Linked DNA regions of Drosophila melanogaster. The protein of the gene in region 2 interacts with the protein of the main gene of each other region in a pairwise test. Each region holds a gene or a part of one and is shown on either strand. Other genes may lie near its edges.

Region 1 (7,804 bases), on a different chromosome or scaffold from region 2:
TCTATTGTGAATGGGTGCACTCTGCGTCCGATTTTTGAATCAAATAGTTAACGTTTAGTTAAACCTAAGAATATGAATCTGTATCTTAACTTCAATTAAGCGAAATATGTTCTCTCCAATTTAAAAACTTGTTGGCTTTTAGAAGCCGAATAGAGAAACAGAAAATGTTCATTATTAACAGTTTAATATTACGCAAAGTTACCATATAAATTACATAGTTAGCCTTTAGCTTTAAATCGAAACTGAAACCTCTCATTTATATAACAAGTTCAAAGCCCAACGAACGTGTCGTGCTACAAAATTACTAGTTTTATTCTCAACTCCTGCAAAATCGTCAGTGTTTTGCAAAAATGTTGAAAAAATTCGTGGAAGTGAACGCCGAGTGCAGTCCCTCTAACAATCCCTATGAGATTCGTACCTTTCTGGGCAACGAAACGTCGCCGGAATGGAAGGCGGAGAACTGTCCGCCCCGCGATCGCGTCTGTCAGAAAAAGCCACCCAACTCCACGATCTCCCAAGTGCTAACCATCGAGGATGAGCTGCGTCGCATCCACCACAAGGCGGAGGAATCCCGCTTCACAAAGCCCTATAAAAAGAAATGTGACCTCTACGACGATTTAACCATGTGCATCGTGCCACAACGAACTCCAGCGGAGCTAAAGACCCATGCCGAGATGCGAGAGCGAATTCTGGCCGCGCGCAAGGACTTTGGACTCGTCGAGCACGACGCCAGGGTCGATAGGCCATGTCCCAAAGATCTCGTCGTCCTCAACAGTCCCATGGACATGGGCGAGGAGGAACAACAGGCGGAGGAGGGCGAGGAAGAGGAGGAGGGCGAGGTCAAGCCACAACTAGCCACTCCAGAATGCAGTTCTGATATGATAATTATTCCGGACAAACGCATGGTATGTTTAGATATAGCTTATAAACTTGGTATAGACAATATTTCTCGATTCGTATAAACTACGTATCCCAAATTACCACCATTTCCAAATTATCTGCGGATTATTAAATTTTAACATGATCATAATAAGCAATTCTGGTTTATTAACCTTTTAATCAATCAAATCGAATTTGATTTAAACTAAATTATGAAGTAGATCTCTTATTGTTGTTGTTTTAAGAATTAATCTTAATAAAAGTCGAAGGCCTTAAGTACTTTTTTGGTGAAATGAACTCATTTAAGTTCATAACAAAACGATTTGTTGATTATAAATAACAGTCGACTACGCTGAGGCATAAGTTTAGACTAGCTTTAACCTTTTGATAAATTGATGTTTTTACTCGATCAATTCGATGTCATCGATATCGGCGTAAATACTTCCCGGTGGCAGTTCCGAAAGAGCGATTTCTCCTGGATCGTCTTGCCCATCTCCATCGGTAGTCGCCAGCGACAGGTTATGATAAGCTCCAGAAACAGCCTGTTGCTGCATGTGCACTCCCAGCTGGGAGATAAGTTCCAATGCCTGTACATCCGAGTTCATCAGAGCGAACTGGTGGATAATGGCTAGATGCGGAAAAACCCCATTCAGAAGAGTACTGGTTCCAGCGTTAATCTGATCATCCGGGTTTTCCTGGTCGCCATGTGCCTGCAGAGGTATTTCCCCCTCTGCAGCATCTGGTGTGCTGGATGGTGAGGACATCATGGTGGGCTCACATGTTACCAGCTCCACTTCATTATCCCCCTCTGGATGATCGGACATGATACTGTTTTCGCTGGAGAGATTGACAAAATCTGCCATAACAGCTGCTTTTGAGATTGCTTCGCCTGGATTATCCAGCTCCCGTTGCATGAAGTTCGGCAGTGCATGCTTAAACTCCACAATGATGTCTTCGACAGGCAGGTCCTGGTTCAAGGGATTTTCGCCCTGGTAGCCCAATTCATCGGCCTCGTACTTGTACTTGTTGCGGAATCGGCTTAGCCATCGATAGGATGGTCTGAAGGATGGCAGGTTCAACACAGCTGCCATCCGGATGGCGGTTTCCTTCAGTTTTTGGTTCCTTATGCTGATGTTCAACTGCATTTGGATGCACCTTTCCACCCACTCGTGTAGTAGGAAGCTGATGGCACTCATTTCGAACTTGCGGCGCTTGCGCGTCATCTCTTCGATTATAATGGAGGCATCTGCCTCGCTTAAGGTGGCCAACTGCTGCAGCAGATCCTTTTTCTTATCCAAGATTCTACGTATTTGGGTGGCGCAGCAGTGGAACATCTTGGCCAGACTGTTCCTAGAGATGTTGGTCTCGTCATAGTAACGGATTACGGCAATCTTTTCGTAGAATGTCAGGATGTTACGCTCATTGCGACGGGATTTGATCTAAAATATAGAGAGGGAAGAGTATAAGATTAACCTAAGATTAGTATTAAATATATTTTAAGCAATTTAATAAATTATTAGATATCTGCAACTATTAGGGTACAAGCCACATTTGTTGACCACCTCTTATATCCTGTCGAAAATTTCCATGCAGAAGTGTTACTGGGCGGATAAGTAATTTTTTCTCTCAGTGTCGTATATATATATATACGTATATTTCTTTTCCAATAAGCTCTATAGAATTTGTACATTTTTATAGATAATATTATTGTTGTATATGAACATAGTGCGAATTTGGCATTACAATGAAAACAGAGGCCTATACGAACTGCAACACTAAGCTAGCCTTAAGGGATTAACGGCCTCCGTTTCGATCATGCAAAGGGTGTGCATGTAAAGGACCTTGGTTGCAAGCCACGCAGCTCAAGGGTAAATGAATGTACGATATGTGTGCGGTATACATGTACATATGTATGCATATGCTTGTGTACACGTGTTTAGTGTAACTGCCGCGTGTCCACTCGAGACACGTTATAAAATCCACCCTCAGCGGGTCGCTTAAGGGCCAAGTTAACAGACATATCTGGTCCCTTGTCCCTTTGCGACTACTTACCCCTTTGGTGTTGTTGTTGTTGTTGCGCCGCAACGTTGTTGTTGGCAGGGCGGCAATAGCAGCCATTTCAATAGTTGTGTTAAGTCAATTGCAACTAGGTTTCTGCTCTTTCCGTTCTCCTTCTTTTCCTTCTCCACTTCTTCTTTTCCGATAACTGCGCAGCAGCTTCTTGCGCTCTTACGGCTGTAGTCGTTCCGCTCTCGCGCCACTTAGATCATGCGTCAGAGGGAGATAGAGATGTGTTCGTGCGAGACTCCTTTTTGAAGCTGTTACAGAGAAAACGTAATAAAACAGAAATAAAAGCAATATTAATACTGTTGATGCAAATGGCTAAGCGTTTGTTAGTCACTTTTTACGAAAGTTGGCACGGCACGTTCTCAAATTCGCTTTGCCTCTGTATTAGCTTTTGTTGTTGCGCCTCTGACATTTTTACAATTACTGAGTAATAACACACTTGTGTGCCCTGTTTCTGTTTCTTGGTTCCGCTCTTCGTTTCTCTGCGCCTGTGTGTGTGTGCGTTCAGTGCGCGCTCCGTATGAAATAAAAACGGTTCACTATGCTCAATCCCTTTTGCATGGTGTTTGCTGTTGTAGCAACGCAGCTGTTACTTTTGTACAGTGCAGGTCAAGTTACTAGCGTACTTCACTAGAAAGGGTATTAAACCACTAGACAATGCTTAGATGATTTGATTGTAGGAAGAGATTAGAGCTGATTCTGGCAAACCAGGGAAGCAAGCAGAATATTTTGGGTTTCATAAGTAATTATAGTTGGCGAAAACAAAACAATATATACAATTTCATATTTGTCATATTAATAACAAATGCAGTTATCAACTGCAGAAAGGCTTAATTCTAGTAATAAAACATGGCAGTTTTTTTATGAATTAATATTAAGGCTTTCAAATATTCAATTACAGTCCTTATCCTGCAAATACCCCAAATACTTTGGGAACCCTGGTAACATCGACTACTTTTAAGGCGTTAATTGTTAATTTGCTGATCTTATGTATCTAGTATATATGTACATATGTATACATGTATAAATACATGTCTGCACCTAAAAAGTGAAACTCTCTATTTGCCCGCTGTTATGTGCGTTGTTGGTCTATTGCATCGGCAGTGGGCATGGTATGCAAAAGCAGTGCGGTTGCAGTCGCTTCGCTCTTGTGTCATATGCGTTTGCGTTTCGCCGCGTTTGTTGTTTGTTATGTATCAATTTTTGTTGTCGGTGGAAGGAGCAGGAGCGTGGCGATGACAGGAGGGGGTGGCAAGGCTATATGCTGGGTTACCGATTAAAGTCCGATTCCTCGTCGGATTGCCCGCCGCAAAAACCTCGCTCTATCTTGGCTAATTACCTTTGCGTCACAGATAAGAGCCTGTCTACTTTTACTCTTCCAACGATTCGTTTGGTGGCCGAAGTGATATAAGCTCGCTCTAAAGTCTTTGGGGCGTTCATAGCTAGCTTCTTATCGGTCCAGATCGTTGTTAGACAACAGAGAAATTCCCTATTATTCGTTCATTTAAACTAACTGTCTAAAAAGGTATAGTTATTGTATGTTTTAGGCACTAAAAGAACATCAATTCTGTTCAGCATTATTTTTGTTAGCTATATACTAGCTATTAAAAAGGTCCTTGAAATAAAACTATTAAATGAAGTTTACTCTTTTGAAGTTTTCTCTGTATATGCAGACAAGCTCTGTTTTTCGAGGTGCCAGACCGCTGCTTACAAAACACTTGGCTGTCCATCCCCATATGCATGTGTATCTCAATTTCGCTGGGCGGCTGCACCTCGCAAATACCAAACTTAAGTTGAGTTTTAAGCCATCTCGAAGTTTGCTCTTGCAGCCTCAGCATCATTGATGAAAGGGCTGCCTTAAAGTGGAATACTTCAGCAGTTCCTAGTCTTTCTTTGAATTAGGTCTCTGGATGAAATTAATAACTTATGGTCATTTTCTTGTATTTCACTGACATTTAATTATATATTAAGAATATTCGTTTGCATAAGGTATATGATAACTCAAAAAAACATGTCCTTTGGATCCCACTACATGAATAAAATAAGCATTTGTCTTCTCAAAGTATTGTTCTTAAAATAAAATATAATTAAGTGGACATCCCACCACACCTGCCTTGCGAATGATCATGTGTCTGAAGTCCCCGTACGCGGAACACACCGAGCCCCATCGTAACCCCGCCTAGTTTGACATTTTGCCAGCTAGCTCGCCCATGGAAAGAGGGTTGCGTTGTTGGAATTGGAACCGACTTGTACTGTTGGCAAGTGCGCCTTGGTATTGGTGTTAGTATTGGTATTGACGTGGTCGTATGCTATAACAGTGCGATACTGCGGCGCTCACCTGGTTCACCTGGTCGTCGATTTGGATGCCTGTTGTTTCTGTTTTTGCTGCAGCACGCTACTTACTAGATGACTTGTTTGTTCTGCAGCCGAGGCAGCTTCGTATTTGCTCGGGGTCCGGGTTTTTGGTCTCGGGCTAGTCGGTTTTTGGTCTGGTTGGGTTTTTGGCTTTTGGACGACCGAACGAACGAGAGCGATAAGATTCCGTGATGTGGCACTAAGCGCTGTTCGTTGTTTACTGCTCTGTGCATGGGACGCCTCTGTTGTTTGGTGCCCGTCATCGTGGCCAGCCAGCCATAGAGGCACACTCACCAACACAGACGCACTGCGAACCCATACATATATAGCGCATGCCATCGTATACCACATATAGCGCGGCGACATCAGGTCGTTATAGTCAGTCTAGTTGGCATTTCGTGCTTACCTTATGCCGCTAACTAACTTCTTGATGAGCGCAAAAAACAGCGGAGGAGAAAAAACAGGCCTCCCGTAAATACCATCCATACCATACCTTGCCATACAACACAATACTGAAATGCCATACCCAGACCAAGACCAAGGCAAAGACCAACGGGGCGTCGGGCATCGGTGGCGTATGCGTGCTATTTTCAGCCGCATTAAAAGCTTATGGCCATGGCCAGGAAAACCGAGTCGCCGAGTGAAAGCACAGAGCTTGCACAGAGCCAAGCGTTGATAACTGGCCATATGTTACCCAATCCATCGCCAGCCAAGACTATGAATTCACTGAATATTTCAATTGGCTGGACATATCCTTACGCAATTTGGGTTACACTAAGTGCGCCATTTGTTGACCACACATACAGAAATTATTTGGATATGGTTGTAATGTATTTTAGCTTATTTTTATTTTATTCATGTATATCGGTTGCAATTATAAATTTAATTTACCGACCTCATTGAATATTAATATAATCTTAAAAAAAAGAAATGATATATTTATACAACCTGCGCAGTTGGAGCTAAAGCGTCCCAAGAGTCGCATATACCTAAACGAAACTGAAGTTGGACCCTTGGAGGAGCTCCCCTTTTCATCTTACAATCCGCGAATCCTGCAAGAAGGCTTAGAAGGAGAAAACCTCAAGACCTTCGATATCATTGAGGGCTGCAGTCCACAGGATTTGTGGACCTGGAATGTGGGCTACCAGAAGAGAGAGGAGCATATGGATCAGGAGTTCATATCCGCCTCCCTGCCGAAATATGGTGTGTAGTTAGCGAATAGAACTATCTTTTTTCCAAGAGATTTGCATTCCTAATCTAGGCTTTTCAAAATTTCACAGAAAACGACGGCGAACTTACGCTCTATAATATACCACAACAGCTGGAAAAGACGTTTACTGCTGAGATTGTGTTTGGGAATCGGAACATCTATCCTGAACCAAAGAAGGAGCCCAACCGTTTGCAGTGAGTAATCTGATTTCTTTGCTAGTAATGCTTAGTTACTAATACCCTCCAATAAAATATATAACTCCTCCTTACATTAAATCCAGGTACTATTATCGGCCTAGTGAAATCGGTGCCATTATAGTCGCTTTCGTAGAGACCTTTCGTTTGAATCCCGATTTCTGGACGGGATCTACAATGGATGGGATTCTAAAGCGCGGAGTGAAATTGACCAAAAAGAGCGCCGACCTAAACTACAAGTCAGACGTGAATGATTTCGATATAATCCAACAGGTTGCGGAACGAGACGCCGCCGTTGAGATTAAGATACACTTCTCGGGACTTTTGAAAAACGAACCAAATATGTACAAAGCACTTTCCCTATTCTTCTCCAAATACAATGCCTGCATCTTTACGTCCCGGGATCTCTTCCTGCTGATCTGGAAGCGCTGCTTAAACTCGTACTATATCTTCGATCCCAATGGACGTGATGAAAACTGCGAACGGAATTTCGAGGAGGGAAAGTGCTCACTGATGGCCACTCGCTATACGGAGCACTTGGTCCATTTGATCACCAAGTTTAGCGATCTGCAGCCGCAGGATGAATTCAATATTTTTGAGATATCGCTGACTCAGTATGGAAAACTTAAGGAGCCACCAATTAATTCGGCGGAAAACGAGGAGTATCACAAACTCTGGGCGCCAGTCAATGAGAACTTTGCTGTAAAAACTGCGGCCACAGGTGGCATTCACCAACCGATCTCCGGAAATGAGAAGAATGCATCGCTAGTTGTGTCATTGATAGCTCTGATTTACTCGGAATTTGAGCTAGCCAAGCTATGGAAACCGGGTACTGTGGATGACATCATAAGGTATGGTGTAGCCTACTACAAAACCCTTCGGAAGAAGTTCCGCCTGGATGGAAAACGCTGGAAGAATAAGAAGCCACATTTGAATGTGGTGGATCTGCCAGAAATGTTTCTCATGGGTGCATTTAAGGCCACCGTTCGAAAGCATCCATTCATGATCAATGGTCATGTGGCGGATTGCAGGAACTATTTGGAATCCCAGCTAACGATGGCACTGCACCAGTTGTTCAACTTGCCCCAGTGGCCATCTG
Region 2 (6,137 bases):
ACAGGATGGATAGCTGGAAAGGTGGGCACTGCTTCAATGGCAGTCGGCCGCTACCTGGCTCCCCACATTCAGGAGCAAGGCTCTAAACTGCTGCAGAAGGGATTTGGCTACGACACCAGCGAGGCTAATAGCACCATGGAGGGCGCCATGACCATCGCGGCAGGAGCCGTGGAAGGAGTGAGCACCGTATTCGATGGCCTCGAGACTTCCGCCAAGATCCTAGGCTCCAGCCTCAGTGAAAACTCCGTCAAGATAATCGAACACAAGTGGGTTGGCTTTGGCTTCTTAATGCTTATGCAGTTTTGTAACAGATGTCATTACGAATTTTCGTCCGAATTGAAAGTAATCACTTAGGCTGGCAACGGTTTATTCAATTTAAATATATCTGAGATTTAAGTTATGCGCAATGTGCAGAGGATCGCAAAAATGATCAAGGATCGGGAAATGTTACTCAAGCTTGCACACAAAGAAAAGTTTTATAACTTGTTGTGAATCGTCTCAAATATGTAATGCTACTAAAGGTCTACTAAGATCTAGATATTCATTTTGGGTTTCTTTCGCCTTCGAAAAAGAAAAACATATAGTGCGGGCATTTTTAATATTTCATATATTTACATATATTTATTTGCTATTTCAGATATGGCCAGCAGACGGGGAATCTGGCTAGTGGCACCTTTGACACGGTGGGCAACGTTTTCGTGGTCAGTCAGAACGTGAACTACATAACCCCGAAGGGCATTGCCAAGAAAATGGTCAAACGAACAGGAGAAGCTGTGGTCAGTGACTACAAGCGAGACTTACGCAAATCGGAATCTCATTATATTAATGCCGGATCTCTTTATCCGGATCTTCGAGCTTTGAAGGAATAGCGGGAAAACCAAAGGAATTTATCACATGTTATTATTATTATTATTATTATTATTATTATTATTATTATTATTATTATTATTATTATTATTATTATTATATTGAAATATTTATATGCCATTTATAGCTTCTAATTAAAAGAAAAAATATAAATAAATATTATGTTCAATAACACATAAAAAAGATATTTCGAAAGATTTTGCATCAAAACCTTATTTTAGTGTTCAAAAATGCTTTACTTTTGTATTTGTAGATAAACCGAAGCTAGAAAGTATTAAAAAGAAAAATGTTTAATTCACTTTGTATATTTGTATAACCTAAATTCTAGCTTCCTAGCACTCCAACCGCTAAGTATCGGGTATCTTTTGTTTTTAAATTAAAATGTCCTGATTTTTGATACACAACTCAGTCCTCTTTCACTAATTTAAAAGAATTAACAATTTTAGCAAGGAATTTAGTATGAACGTACCATGTAAATTGTGAACAAATGTTGATCTAAGTATCTTTAGATTGACGATCAATAAAAAGCCGTCTAATTTAGCGGCTTTAAATCCTCGTAAGTACTGTCATAGCTTCCGATCGCCTGAAGTTACAGACTTTTGAATCTTATATTGTTGAAAAGGTTATGTTATTTGCATTATTTCCTAACCATTTCCTAAGACTCTATATAGCTATCTTATTCCTTATTCTTTTTTCCTATCTTAAAAAGCACTCTGATCAAGCAAAAACTTTGCGGAACGAGTCAAATTTTATATAAACAAGTTAGGAATTTATATAACGAGCGATGAACCCCACATATATACTTTGGCGAAATATGGTAAAACTTCACGTTTTGTTTTATACACGAGATATAGAATGTGATATTCTATAGGTCCTAAGTGTCATATATCAAGGAGCCCATATATTTAGTTAGGGTTCAGCTCCCGAATCAGAACATAACATAACATGAATGACTATAACCCCTATTGTTGGTAAAACTTTCTCCTAGACTATATTTACATTTACCTTATTATAGTCCTTTTATCCTATTAATATTTATATTAGGAGAATATAGGAATATGTATACTCATATTATTGTCAAAATCATATGAATACATTTTTTTATATATATTTATTAAAAAGAATCCGTACATAATTATATTGTATCTTAGCATCACAGGGTGGAGATTTATTCTTAAGAATTACCAGTCGATATATAAAAAAAGTAAAGTAAATGAATACATTTGTTTTCAAACGTTAGCTCTCGTGCGAGTTCCATTCTGAAAATAGGAATGGGTGTTTAAATCCTCACATGATTAGTGAGAGGTTTGGTTTTATCATTTATATGTTAATTGCGCTGTTATGTTGCTATTGCTGCATTGTATGGATTCATCGCTTCTAAATAAATAAATTTAAAAAAAAGGAATGGGTGTAGCATACTTTCGGGACGCGCAATAAAAAATTATCTTGAAATTGGTTTGGTTTTAAACTCCGCCATATATCATTATATAATATTATATATTATTTGATCCCAAAGCTTCATAGATTGATCCATCAGCGTCTCGTTGATTTTTGTATGCAATACTTTACGTACTAATTCAAAAACCGAGAAAGTTGTTAATTATTTTGAAGGCTTTTCGCCGAACAACGTAACAAAAAACGTAAGAGCGTACAGAGAGACCTTGCCTGCGGACAGATAAAAATACCGCTCGTAGTCCGATTCGACCCACCTCAACTGATTCAGCTGGCCACACTCCGCCCCATTTTTATATCCACAAATTCCTACGCTCGGCAGTACGTTTTGAACTCGGCCAAAAGGAGGTGGCTAAGAGTTTAGCGCGGCACGCAAGCACATAATTCCCCGCTCGGACGTGATTTCGCCCCTTGGTACATGAATACATGTGAATGTGTACATATGTGCGCACGGGAAATAAGGCAGGAAAAGCCCAAAGCCACGGAGTTCGGATCCGAGAGTCTTGCGTTTTGTTTTGCGCAGCACTGCACCTGTGCAGTGTAAAATCGTGAATTCAGTCGAGGTGCAACTGCGGCGCTTGTGCGGTTGAGGGAGGAGAGTTGGCAGAAGTGTGTTTGTGTGTGTATGTGGGTGGGTAGTGCCTTTTATTTCCGATTTTGACGGGAGTCCAATCCACCAAGCTGAGTAGTTGCAATTACGGCGCGGCGGAAAACTGTTTTTCTCGCTCACAAATACATATGTACAACCTGTATAAACAACAACGACTGCCGTAAACAGCCAACTGCGAACGCAGCAACAACAACAGTTCTAACAACAGTACACAAGCAAACACGTTTCCCGTTTTATTTTCTGGCCCGCGTTTATTAGTGTGTGTGGGTGCGCCTCTGTGTGCGAGTGCGTATGTGTGCGTGTGTACGTGTTGCTCGCTCGAGTATAGAAATTTCTAATGATTTTTGGCCTGTTCCCGAAAAGCAGCTCCAAACAACAACAACAACAACTTTAGGACTCTGCAGTGGCTGTTCCAATTGACTCGCCATTCTTTTGAATTGTTTTTATATATGTAATTGAACGCCGAAAAACAACTGTGTAAAAAACAGCATCTGTGCCAGCAACGAACAGAGCTTCGAATTTTGTTGGTAAGTGTTTTCAGCTTCTGCACAATGAATAAAGTAAATAATAAGTGAATAAGTGATTTCAAAATCTGCATTTTGAAACCGTAAAAAGTGTAGAAAAGAAAAGTGTAAAAAGGTAGCCAATTGTCTTAGTAACGTGCTTATTTATGCAATTTGTAACTATTGGCTTGAAGTTTACATAAAAAAAGGTCCATTCGAAAAATGAAGACTAATATCTTTCCTATCTTTCCTAACGGATATCAAAAAGTAGGATTGGGTAAAACACATTTCTCTCGGAGATTTTTCTTCATTGAGCGGATCGCTTAGATCCATTCATCTGACGCAACAGTAGCAGCAAAATAACGTTGTGATGACCAGGACTAGGGATATGACCTCAAGCAGCATTCTGGGACCTGGATCATGTTGGTCAGGCGGAACTTGTAGATGGAGGCTCGTGTTCTGGAGTGAGGCTTGTGAGCTTGAGTTGTACATTCTTGCGATCCATCCACCGATCTGCTGGCTTTCGAATTTGATGTTCGACAAATGTGTCTCAAAAAAATTTCGACACCCTCGACATGCGTTTCTGTGTTGGCTTTGATAGGTTTTTTCCCCAAAACATTTTCACTTTGCATGCCAATTTTCTCACCGCTCAAACTTGCAGCACTCGGGCGCCTAGTCATTTATTTGATATCATCATTATCGTCATTGCCCGAGCTACAGGCTACAGGTTTTTAGCTAATAAGGTAATGGCAAAAAGACGGGGAAAAACGGCTGAATTATAATCGAAAGAAAAAATCCATCATTGGAAAGTTGGTTTAATTGCATTTGCGGAATGCAGCTGTCAGGGTTGCCTAGTTGTGCGACAGGGCGACGCATTTTTCGCCAGCCGCGCACTTGGCTAATATTTCAGGCTTCATGCTTCATTTGCGTTACGAGCGGACCAAGTCGACTTTCGGAGCAAACCCGGCGGCAAGGGCGTTGGACTAGATTGGATCGGGTGGATTGGATGATGAAGGTGATGGGACAGGAGAAAGGTATTTGAAAGGGCTGGAGTGGGTTACACACTCCCCGGCGATATGGAGTTCATCGTCTTCCGAACTTGAGTTTCAAAATCTAAAAAAAAAACATCTCTATGTATGTATGTATGTAAGTACTTGTGTCTCCCAAGTTCTGGTGCCTGGAAAATCGTCAAACAAATATATTTTCAAAACTTAAAAATTTTTTTTTTTTGGTTTTCGAAGGATAGCGTGCACTACCCACAAAAGGAGCAATAAATTCCTCCGGGTGACAGTGGTTGGCAATTTTTTGCAGCAATTGGCAGGGCGAGTGTGGGAGAGAGCGGTGCCGGTCGTTACACGTTACACACTTTTCCGGGGCACTTTCCCAAGCGAATATTATTTTTTCTGTGCCCTCACATGAAAATCAATTCATAATGGTGCAGGTGGGTGGCGGCTCTCATGCTTTTTTTATATTTTTCTCTATAGTGCGATTGAATGCGACAGAAAATAGTATGATCAAGAAATCATATTGTTTACACATCGGTTTTATAAATTTGGTAGTTTAATTTTTATTAGTCCAAACAAATATCGGATTATATTTTTGTTTCAAGTGTACTTTTCACTTCTTTGCACGGTGGGTATTTTCCTCATCATCTGTTTTTCGAAGAGCTTTTCCGCCGCTGCTGTTTTGTTTATGCTTTTCCCATCTCATTGTTTTTGCGCGCCTCGTGCGTCAATTTATGTGAGTTCAGTTTGCCTCAAAGACGGAAGCGGTCTTAATGGTACAAATAGGAGTAGCTGCGGCTCCAGCTAGGAAACCGGAGGAAAAGGGTGCCGTGGAAATTGGCGCCGCCGCAACTGCCCAAATGCCGCGGCTGCTCATAACTTGTTTGCCGAATAATTTCCAAAGTTGCAATTTTCATTTTATGGCCATTTGTCTTCGGTTGTTTTGTCTGCCGGTTGGGGCACATTCGAAGCCCGGTTTTGCTTTTTTTTTTTCGTGGCTCATTTTGTTTTGTAATCAGAATTACATAGAGGGAAACATTTCATTTTCATTTGCTAACTAAGTTGGTCTCTCTTTCGGACCGCTCTGTAATCGGGTAAATGAAATCCAGATCAGTGGCGAAATTACAAATTTGTTCCATTTTGTTCTAAACATACTCGCATTTCGTAAGTTAAAATTTTCATACATTAGTTTCAAAAGCTAGAAATATAATGAGAATCTTAGAAATAAAGCGATTGTCATGTAATTACATGATACTAGAGTACCTTATCCAAATCAGACTGACTTGTTTTAAGCCATCTTGTGCTTGACATACACATGCTCAACTCTTCCCTTTTGGGAGGTGCTATCTGGTATCCGATTTCGTAACCAATTCGGCCCGAGTCCGGCTCTTTCATAACAATAACCAAAAGCACTTGTCACTGCCATCTGCTGCCGGCAACTTCGCCGTGGCCACCCATATGGGCCCAGTTTGGGCTCGTCGCCTACCTGTTTCACCGGGCAGTGTGAGTGATACTTGTGCAATTATTGTACAAACTCATAGTGTCCACTCTTTCAAGCGAGTGTATGTGAGTAGAGTGGTAGAACCCCTGGACTCTCGGACAGGTTGTTCAGAAAAGCGAATGGTTTTGTTCCACGCCGAACGCCTCATGTCTTTCGTCGTCGACGGAAATCTGAAACAATGGAGGTAGAGAAGACGCTCT
Region 3 (9,110 bases), about 26 Mb from region 2:
GTCTTTGGTGATAAGTTCTGATAAGTACTACTAATAGTGCATAGACTTAAAATAAGTAAATTTGCTCTTATTCCGCCTTTTGCGCATTTCCGAACTAAAAAAATAAATTCAGATAGTAATCTTTTACAACTAATTACCAAGTTAACATTAAAGTTTTTATTTTGATTGTTAAGTGAAATTCTTCATTACATGATTTAATACACTTCCTTATCAGGATGTCTAATTTGTATTTAGATTTACATAATAATGACCAGTTAACGGTTGTTGACATTTCTACGTGAGTCTGTGGTTTATTCACTTTTTATCGATTCAAAATAAGCGTGGCAAACGTGTTTGGTTTCCCATAAACAAATCATGAGCGAAGTCTCACGCAAAGCAGTTCAATGGGTCAAAGTTTTCGAGAATTAGCGCTTCTAACCCAGCTAGACTACTGCATCTTTATGGCCAAATCCACACCTGAACTTGATCTGGATGCTGGACGGACTACGTGCGGAAGAAGAGCAGCAGTCAGTCGAGAAGCCTTCGCTCGAAGTCAGCTATAAAAGAGTTGTAGATCTTAACTATAACTTCAACTGTTTCTGCTTTGTTATTGTTGGGGGTTTCGTTCGCTTATAGCCATTATAGACAGTATTTGAAGATTTGACTCACAAATTATGGCCAGCAGTTGTGGCTGAATTGATTAGCTGGCATTTGGCTGTGGCTAGCGGTCTTTTAGCCCCTCGATAAGGTCAAGTTCATTTCCGCATGGTGAGGCAGTAGTTAGTGAGCTACGTTCTCTGATCTCCGAAAAGCGACTACCCCAAAGTAACTGTTTCGGAGTTTCAGGCGGATTTCATGGATAGGGAAAGGGAAATTGCCCAAGAGGTCAGCCAAAGTGGCCATAAACAATTAGCCATTAGACGGGCCTTATGTGACGCACTTGGCAATCGCGGCAATTAGAGTTGTTACCAATCTCTCCGCGGGTCACTCAACACAAAATGTATCTCGAGCCTCGATTTTATCTGCCAGCGTGTGAACTGCCGGAAATTTCACTCTTGTGGATGGATGCATTTAATTCTTTCCGAACCTGATTTTTGACCAAGTTAATTGGGAGGGAATAAAAGGCGTACTTTGTACTTTGTCCGACTATAACTTGGCTTGGCTGAATTCAAAGACCCAAACAAGCAGTCGCTTCTAGAGTAAACAAATTTATGAATGACATAAAAAAGCGGATAAAAGCAGAAAATTATCTCGCTCTTGAAACTCCGAAATTAAACGTTAGTCCAATGATTTACTGCTTCACTTATAAGCGTGTTAATTGCCTAAATTTCCTTCACTGCTGAACTTGATTACTTGTTCTTTGGCGGCGGTCCACTCAATTGCCATAATATCAATCTCGCAGCCAGACTTCAAGTGTCAAGTGCAGTGTCTGGCTGCAATTAACCCTCTACTACCCCATGGTACCTCGCCTAAGGTCACATAAACCTTAAATTCAATTCCTATTTAATCGAGTGCAATTTAATATTTCCACAATTTTTGGTTCTAAGTACCAAGTATTTCAGCAAGGTCTCAGTGGGTTAATCTCCGTCAAAGAACCGAAATGCACGGCAGGCGTTGCAATCCACGGTCAACACGACAGGTTTCAGGTTTCCTTCTAAGCCCCTGAACAGCCAAATCGTTGGTTTTGACACAGATATAGCCATGTTATGGCCGTATTGGCCGGATCGGCGCTTGCATTTGGCATTTCGTTGGGCAAACACCACCAGATGACCTCGACTTTCAATCGCTGTGAGAATGTGTCTGGCATTCTTTGCGAATGTATCTTCAGACGATTCTCACACAGATCTTGATACGCACCTCGGAATCGAGAATTACACGCCGATAGGCATCGCGAGAAAAATCTACTAGCCGGCCATTACGAGTGAGATGCATTTTCCCCAACATTTATGCCTGCGAGCTTTACATCTGGGCAGGCTCACATCAATTAACCCGCAATTACAATAGAATTTAATCATGTGCCTGCCAGTTCACGTCGCACAGTTGGCCAAGTTGGCCAAAGGGGGGTTAAGCGATGGGGCTGGGCAAAAAGGGGCGTATTAATAACCGCGCTAAGTTCAAGAACATCGCTGATGGTTATTGTCATAGTTTCGTCGCGGCAATATGTAATTAAATCTGCGGATTGCAATCGATTATAAATACATTGTGAGGCATTTGCGGGTGGCGAAGGCTTTGTTTGTTGATTGAGTGAGTGATTTAATAAATTGTTCCGACTTTAGGAGCAATAATTTTCTTCTACGATAATTGAAGTTATAATTTGAAGGACAACGTATTCAAGTACTCCATGTACTTAACACCCTATAGAAAGGTGGCCCAAATCTAATAGTTTCATATCGGTTACTTAATTGTTTATTATACCATTTTAAGTTTAATGATTTGCTGACCCCATTTTATGATAGCTTCCTCGGAGGTTTTTATGGCTTTTTGAAAGGCAAAAACAGATCTCTGTTATTAACAGAGTGCGGTTCGAGTCCATGCTCCCCCCTGATTGCTAAGTATACACTGGGTTGGTTTTATGCTAAAAGCATTATCCAAGTCTTGCTCCATAAGTATCGTTAAATAAATTTAACAATAATTCAATCGCTGACTGGTCGCACTATTATATCGCTACGGTATATATTTGACGAAACAGACGGCGGCCACACTACAGACAAATAAAAAATTGAACCAATCGTTGCAATTGCACTTCAGTTTTCGTTCAGAAATAAATACGTAGCTGCAAATAGAGGACTATCTCCGCCGACATTTAAGAAGTACAGTTAAAACCGGGAAAATGGAGAGAGCAGGCCTCTTGGCCGTTTTGGCACTGTGCTGCGCCTTTGGTGAGTGGAGAAGAGATGGAGAGAAGTGCGAAAAGCGACGTTGAAAGGGAACCACAATAATAGTTTAGTCATAGCTTATTGCGTATTCGTGCTGTGCACTCTGTTCCTCAACCGTTGCTCTCTTTGTTTGTTTGCTTTCTTGCAGGCGTCTTCGCCGCTGCCACGCCCCTTTTGGGCTCCAGCAAGTGCACCTGGGGACCCTCCTACTGGTGCGGAAATTTCAGGTGAGTGCAAAAAAGTGGGTGATACAATAAACGGTATATTCGGATAAATCGCTTGGTCATCGAACACCACAAAGTTCTCGAAGGCGAAAAGCTAACCTCTCTTAACCCCCCTCCAAATAGCGATATTACTTCTCCGCCTCACTTGCCCATTGTTTGCAGCGAAGACTCGTCTGTTCTGTTTTGTTCTCGGCCGATAAGACTATCACTCGAATCGGGAATCGAATCACTTTGCTCTACATAGCTCTATTCGCCGATAACCCCTGTTATTGCAAACTTAACACTAGTGCCGCTCTAATTGCGTCCCCTTATTTTGCGTTGTATTGTTTTACAGACTCGATGTTTTCTCTGAGTGCACTTTTCGCAATACTCTCTGCCTTCATATCCCATATTTCTGGATTTCCTTTGTCTGCACATTCGCTGTACAAATCAAATTAACAGTACCGCCAGTCGGAACATTTAGACGGCAGAGTTAAGCGCTCGTAGGGGGCACAACTTTATCGACACCGATTATATGCATGAGTAATCCAGAGGAGCAGATCGTTTTGACACAGCTCCCTTTTCTGTGCACCGCCAAACAAACCACATGATTGCTTTGTTTATCATTGTTAATTCGCTGTAGGCGGCAACAGTTGTTCCTTATCAACGAATTCTGACTAATCCCTCAGGCGTATGATGAGTACAGGGGAACATCCGAAAGTGCAACTTCTAAGCCTTAACACAATCACAATGCACTTGAAACCCTTATCTTAGCCATACTCACAATTGTAAATTCCTCAATGGAGTGATATTACATTGCGGCCACAAAGGATCACCTTACAGAAGCTATACTGTACGTACATATGTATGTATGTTACACCAAGATAAACTTGAAAACATTTACATGGACTGCATCATTAATAGAGTAAAAGCGATCAATAGGCAACTGAAAACATTTGTTAAGCACCCATCCATCGCTTATCGCTAGTCGTAATTCCTTTGTTTATTGATTGATTTATTTTTAAATGGCCAGGAAAATCCGCCATTTCTGGCTCTTAACCGTTTCTTTGTTTCTCAATTGCAGAGTGTCAAAAATTAAAAACGTCGCCATTGCTGTTGAAAATTCAGAAAACAATATCTGTGAATGCGCAGCCAAGTGAATAATATATACGTGGATACGTCCAGATATATCATTCATACATATGTACTGTTTATTTCCGTGCTTATCAGTGCTGATTTTTTGCTATTTAGACGCTTTTGTTTGGTATTCCTGGCGATTCCACCGCAGGCGTCTCTTCATGTTAATGGAAATTAGCACTTTCCGTTCGAATCAGTCAAATCGATTTATATTGAACAAATATAGGGTTACTTTCCATCAAAGTGTTGTGCTTTAAATGCTATTTGCTTATATGAGATGATATGGGCTTTGATTTAGTCAGCATAAGTTTGATGATTATTAAACCATTTCGTTCCGTCTCGGATGTTCAAAAATCAAAATTATTACCAGTCCAATGCTTCGTTGTATTCATTGAAGACCCAACATTATCATGTGAGCTGTGGGTGCATTCTTAAAGTGGATAGGGGACTACTCCCTTTTTAGTGGACTCTGGTCTTTGCTGACTCGTCGATTCTGGCTTGGCCACTCGATTACGAATGCGGGTCATTTGATCCGAACAGCGGCATTTCGCACAATCAGCTTAGTATCCGACTGCTTACTCTGATGGGTTTATCTTAACAGCAAAAAAAAAGTTTGCTAACTTTATGTCTGCTTCCTTTCCAGCAACTCCAAGGAATGTCGTGCCACCCGCCACTGCATCCAAACCGTTTGGGAAACCCAAAAGGTGCCGGTGGACACGGACTCCATCTGCACGATATGCAAGGACATGGTTACTCAGGCCCGCGACCAGCTGAAGAGCAACCAGACAGAGGAGGAGCTGAAGGAGGTCTTCGAGGGCTCCTGCAAGCTGATTCCGATCAAGCCGATCCAGAAGGAGTGCATCAAGGTGGCCGATGACTTCCTGCCCGAGTTGGTCGAGGCCCTGGCCTCGCAGATGAATCCAGATGTGAGTTTTCACCTCTACAACACATCCTCCTAAACCTTTTATTGATATATAAAATGTTTCCCTTCAATCCTCAGCAAGTTTGCTCTGTGGCCGGACTTTGCAACAGTGCTCGCATCGACGAATTGTATAAGAACGGCATTCAGGCTGGTCTTGATGGAACCGTCCAGAATGAAGATGACAGCTCCGAGGAGACCGAGTTGGCCATGCAGCCTAACCAACTTTCCTGCGGCAACTGCAACCTGCTTTCCCGCCTGATGCACTCGAAATTTGCGGCTACCGATCGCGATGACATGGTGGAAACGATGCTTCATATGTGCGGATCGCTATCTAGTTTCTCAGACGCCTGTGCCAACATTGTGCTCACCTATTTTAATGATATCTACGACCATGTGAGCAAGCACTTGACCACGGATGCCGTGTGCCATGTGTCCGGAGTGTGTGCCTCCAGATATCACCAGCATGAAGAGGAAAAGCAACCGCAAGAAGCCTTAGTTGCCTTGGATGCCGGCGATGATATTCCATGCGAACTATGCGAGCAACTAGTAAAGCACCTTCGCGACGTCTTGGTGGCCAACACCACTGAAACGGAGTTCAAGCAAGTTATGGAAGGATTCTGCAAGCAGTCAAAGGGATTCAAGGACGAGTGCCTTAGCATTGTTGACCAATACTACCATGTGATTTACGAGACTCTGGTCAGCAAGTTAGATGCCAATGGAGCCTGCTGCATGATCGGCATTTGCCAGAAGAACTCCGCCTCCTCGATGAAGGATGTCCCAATCATGCCGCTGCTGCCTGTTATTGAGCCGGCTCAGGTAAAGATCACCATCGAGAAGCTGGAGAAGCACGAGAAGAAGCAACTGGGCGCCAGTGAGCCGAAGTTCAGCCAGCAAGAGATCCTGGACATGCAGCTGCCCATTGATCACCTAATGGGTGCAGCTAATCCCGGAGCTTTGGTCGAGGGTGGAGAGCTGTGCACCCTGTGTGAGTACATGCTGCATTTCATTCAGGAGACTCTGGCTACCCCCTCCACGGATGACGAGATCAAGCACACCGTGGAGAACATCTGCGCCAAACTGCCCTCGGGAGTTGCCGGTCAATGCCGCAACTTCGTGGAGATGTATGGCGATGCTGTGATAGCTCTGCTCGTCCAAGGACTGAATCCTCGTGACGTGTGCCCCCTCATGCAGATGTGCCCGAAGAATCTGCCCAAGAAGGAAGATGTCGAAGTGTTCAATCCCCAGCCAGCCAGCGATGAGCAGGATCCCCCAACTTGCCCTCTGTGCCTCTTTGCCGTTGAGCAGGCCCAGATGAAGATCCGCGACAACAAGTCCAAGGATAATATCAAAAAGGTTCTGAATGGCCTTTGCAGCCATCTGCCCAACGAGATAAAGGAAGAATGCGTAGACTTCGTGAACACCTATTCCAATGAGCTGATCGACATGCTGATCACAGATTTTAAGCCGCAGGAGATCTGCGTCCAACTGAAGCTCTGCCCAAAGACCACTTACGCTCTCTGGGACTTGCGCATCTCGCTGGAGGACGATGTCGATGGTGAGGACAAATCCAGCAGTGAGGAAATCAGCTTCAATGACATTGAGTCCCTTGAGGAGCTGCCCCCTCAGCTGGCCTTCGACCCAGGATTCACCGCTGCTCCGAACTGCCTGATCTGCGAGGAGTTGGTTAAGACCTTGGAGAAGCGTATGGGCAAGCACCCCACCAGAGACAGCATCAAGCATATCCTGGAGGAGTCTTGCGACCGAATGAGGAAGCCAATGAACACTAAATGCCACAAGGTTATCGACAAGTACGGCGATAAGATCGCCGATCTGCTGTTAAAGGAAATGGATCCCAAGCTTATCTGCACGGAGTTGGGAATGTGCATCCTGGCTGATCTGGATGATCGTGAGTATTAAATTCTAGAGCTACGTTAAGTATACGTTTAAACTAATGAATTTCATTTTCGTAATACAGTCGAAGTGGATGAGGCTTTGAAGTACGACGTGATTGCTCTGCCGCGCCAGGACAACAAGCTGTCTAGCAGCATCAAGGAGCCGCCCACCTGCGTCCTTTGCGAATTTATCATGACCAAGTTGGATGCCGATCTAAAGAATAAGACCGAACAGGACGACATTAAGCGAGCGATTGAAGCCGTGTGCAATCGCCTGCCAGCCACGGTGCGCAAACAGTGCGACACCTTCGTCGATGGATATGCCTCTGCGGTCCTGAAATTGCTGAGCGATGTGCCGCCCAAGCAGGTGTGCCAGAAACTGCAGCTCTGCTTCAGCGTGGCCGTCACCGATGAAGTTTTGGAGTGTGGTGTGTGCCATGGAGTCACCCAGGCTCTGTTGCCCTTCCTGCGCGAGAAGAAAGATAACGTATCCGAAGTGACAGCCCTACAGATGACATCGGTGGGATGCGAGAACTTGCCAGCCAAGTACTACAAGATCGTATGTAACTTACAATCCTGAATGTTATAAATATCTATAAGTTCCTTTGCGTTGCAGTGCTCTGAGATGATCTCCATCTATGGCAGTAGCATTAAGAACTTGGCCAAACGACCCTATATTGATCAGTCGCATATTTGCGCCGAGATTGGCAAGTGTTTCGAAAGCGAGAAGTCTTCGCTGGCCTTTGCTAGAATTTCAGGTAAGCTATAGGTTGAAGGACCCAAACAATACATTTACTAATTTACTATCTTCAACAGCCTAAGTGATGCGTTGTGATGTACGAACCAGGCGCGGAGGATTTGAAGGAGAAGGGACCCGATCCCACGCTTTATATATGCATATACCTTTACATATATCTGTTTACATTCTATAACGATTTACTGTAAATGAAACATAATTACTTACTTTTCGTTTTGTACCCCGGTTTTTGGCTCTAAATTTGTTAGGTGAATTTGTGATGAAACTGAATTTATAAACGCACTCAAACGCCGGCTGAAAAAAGTTAAACTTAACTAAACTAACACTTACACTAAGCAGTACCCTTATCGTAATTTCAACATAAAAATTAGCGAAATTCACGAGCCGCAAACTTTGTATCGATATCCCCATGTGTCCGAAGTCATTTGAGCAGTGTGTGTAGTTTAAGATATCAAGCAAAACTGTGTAAAATACGAACATTGATCTTATAAATCATACAGAAAACTTAAACCGACATAGTAGCACATTATTGAAAATTCCCAATTCCCCTTGGAATAGTATATATTTTCTAGCCGACATGTTTGAGAACTCCCTGTTTATCATTAAGCCGGACTATCTGCACAAGCGGCGTCCGGTGCTCTTAAAGTTGCTGGCCGAGGGCTTCCAGATTCAGGGTAATCGACGGATTGCCTTTTCGCCAGAAACTGCCGCCGAGTTCTATGCCGATTATGCCGATGAAAAGGGGTTTATGCTGGAGGTCATTCTGCTTTCGAAGGGTGTTTCCGAGGCGTTCATAGTTACGAAGGAAAACGCCGTGCAGGAGCTGCTCAACATCATGATTTGTTATTTGTGAGTTTGCTTTTAAAATAAAATAATAAGTTCTCTAGGTACAATTTGACTTTAAGTGGTTCGGCATCGGATCTGGAACGCAATATCCATGTCACCAAGAACAGTTACAGCGTGGCTCGTGAGATAAACTTTATTTTTCCCAACTGTAAGTAGCGATACAGAGATTAATAAAGTAAAAAATAATATATCGAATTTTTCAGATATTCACGAGCCCCATCAAATGTTCGACCACAACAACTTCTGCAACAGGCCGATGCTTAAGCCGCTGCTCGAGGAGATCTACGACATAATGCAGAACACCGACTGCAGCCAGGAGAACTGGAAGGTGCGTGTTTCCGATTACCTGGTGCGCAGCAATCCAAAGATGCCGGAAATCAGCAACCAGTGCCAGCAGCGACCGGATGTGGCTATCCAGGACAAATCGCAGCAGACCACCATGACCTATGCTCCGAAGCCAAGTGCGCGGGCCGCGCAGCCGGGAGTCAAGAAAACGCA

Evidence for each region.
Region 1: the proteins of smash (region 2) and ebd2 interact in a two-hybrid assay, tested with the Drosophila melanogaster proteins (one large-scale study listed by BioGRID).
Region 3: the proteins of smash (region 2) and Sap-r interact in a two-hybrid assay, tested with the Drosophila melanogaster proteins (one large-scale study listed by BioGRID).

The regions. Positions count from the first base shown.
Region 1 is NT_037436.4:21,343,758-21,351,561, forward strand, and holds ebd2 (earthbound 2), read right to left. Parts: upstream 5,532-7,804; 5' UTR 5,285-5,531; intron 3,313-5,284; exon of another isoform or gene 3,281-3,312; intron 3,198-3,280; 5' UTR 2,998-3,197; coding exon 2,932-2,997; intron 2,319-2,931; coding exon 1,281-2,318; 3' UTR 1,011-1,280; downstream 1-1,010. Other genes in the region: CG32436 (uncharacterized protein), read left to right, coding at 351-905, 6,258-6,504, 6,582-6,705, 6,792-7,804.
Region 2 is NT_033777.3:4,656,944-4,663,080, forward strand, and holds the start of smash (smallish), read left to right. Parts: upstream 1-2,635; 5' UTR 2,636-3,456; intron 3,457-3,583; exon of another isoform or gene 3,584-3,996; intron 3,997-6,137. Other genes in the region: spartin, read left to right, coding at 1-266, 638-869.
Region 3 is NT_033777.3:30,882,633-30,891,742, reverse strand, and holds Sap-r (Saposin-related), read left to right. Parts: upstream 1-2,680; 5' UTR 2,681-2,809; coding exon 2,810-2,858; intron 2,859-2,916; exon of another isoform or gene 2,917-3,003; coding exon 3,004-3,082; intron 3,083-4,838; coding exon 4,839-5,121; intron 5,122-5,195; coding exon 5,196-7,023; intron 7,024-7,092; coding exon 7,093-7,568; intron 7,569-7,625; coding exon 7,626-7,767; intron 7,768-7,825; coding exon 7,826-7,830; 3' UTR 7,831-8,279; downstream 8,280-9,110. Other genes in the region: CG15547 (uncharacterized protein), read left to right, coding at 8,344-8,615, 8,672-8,760, 8,816-9,110.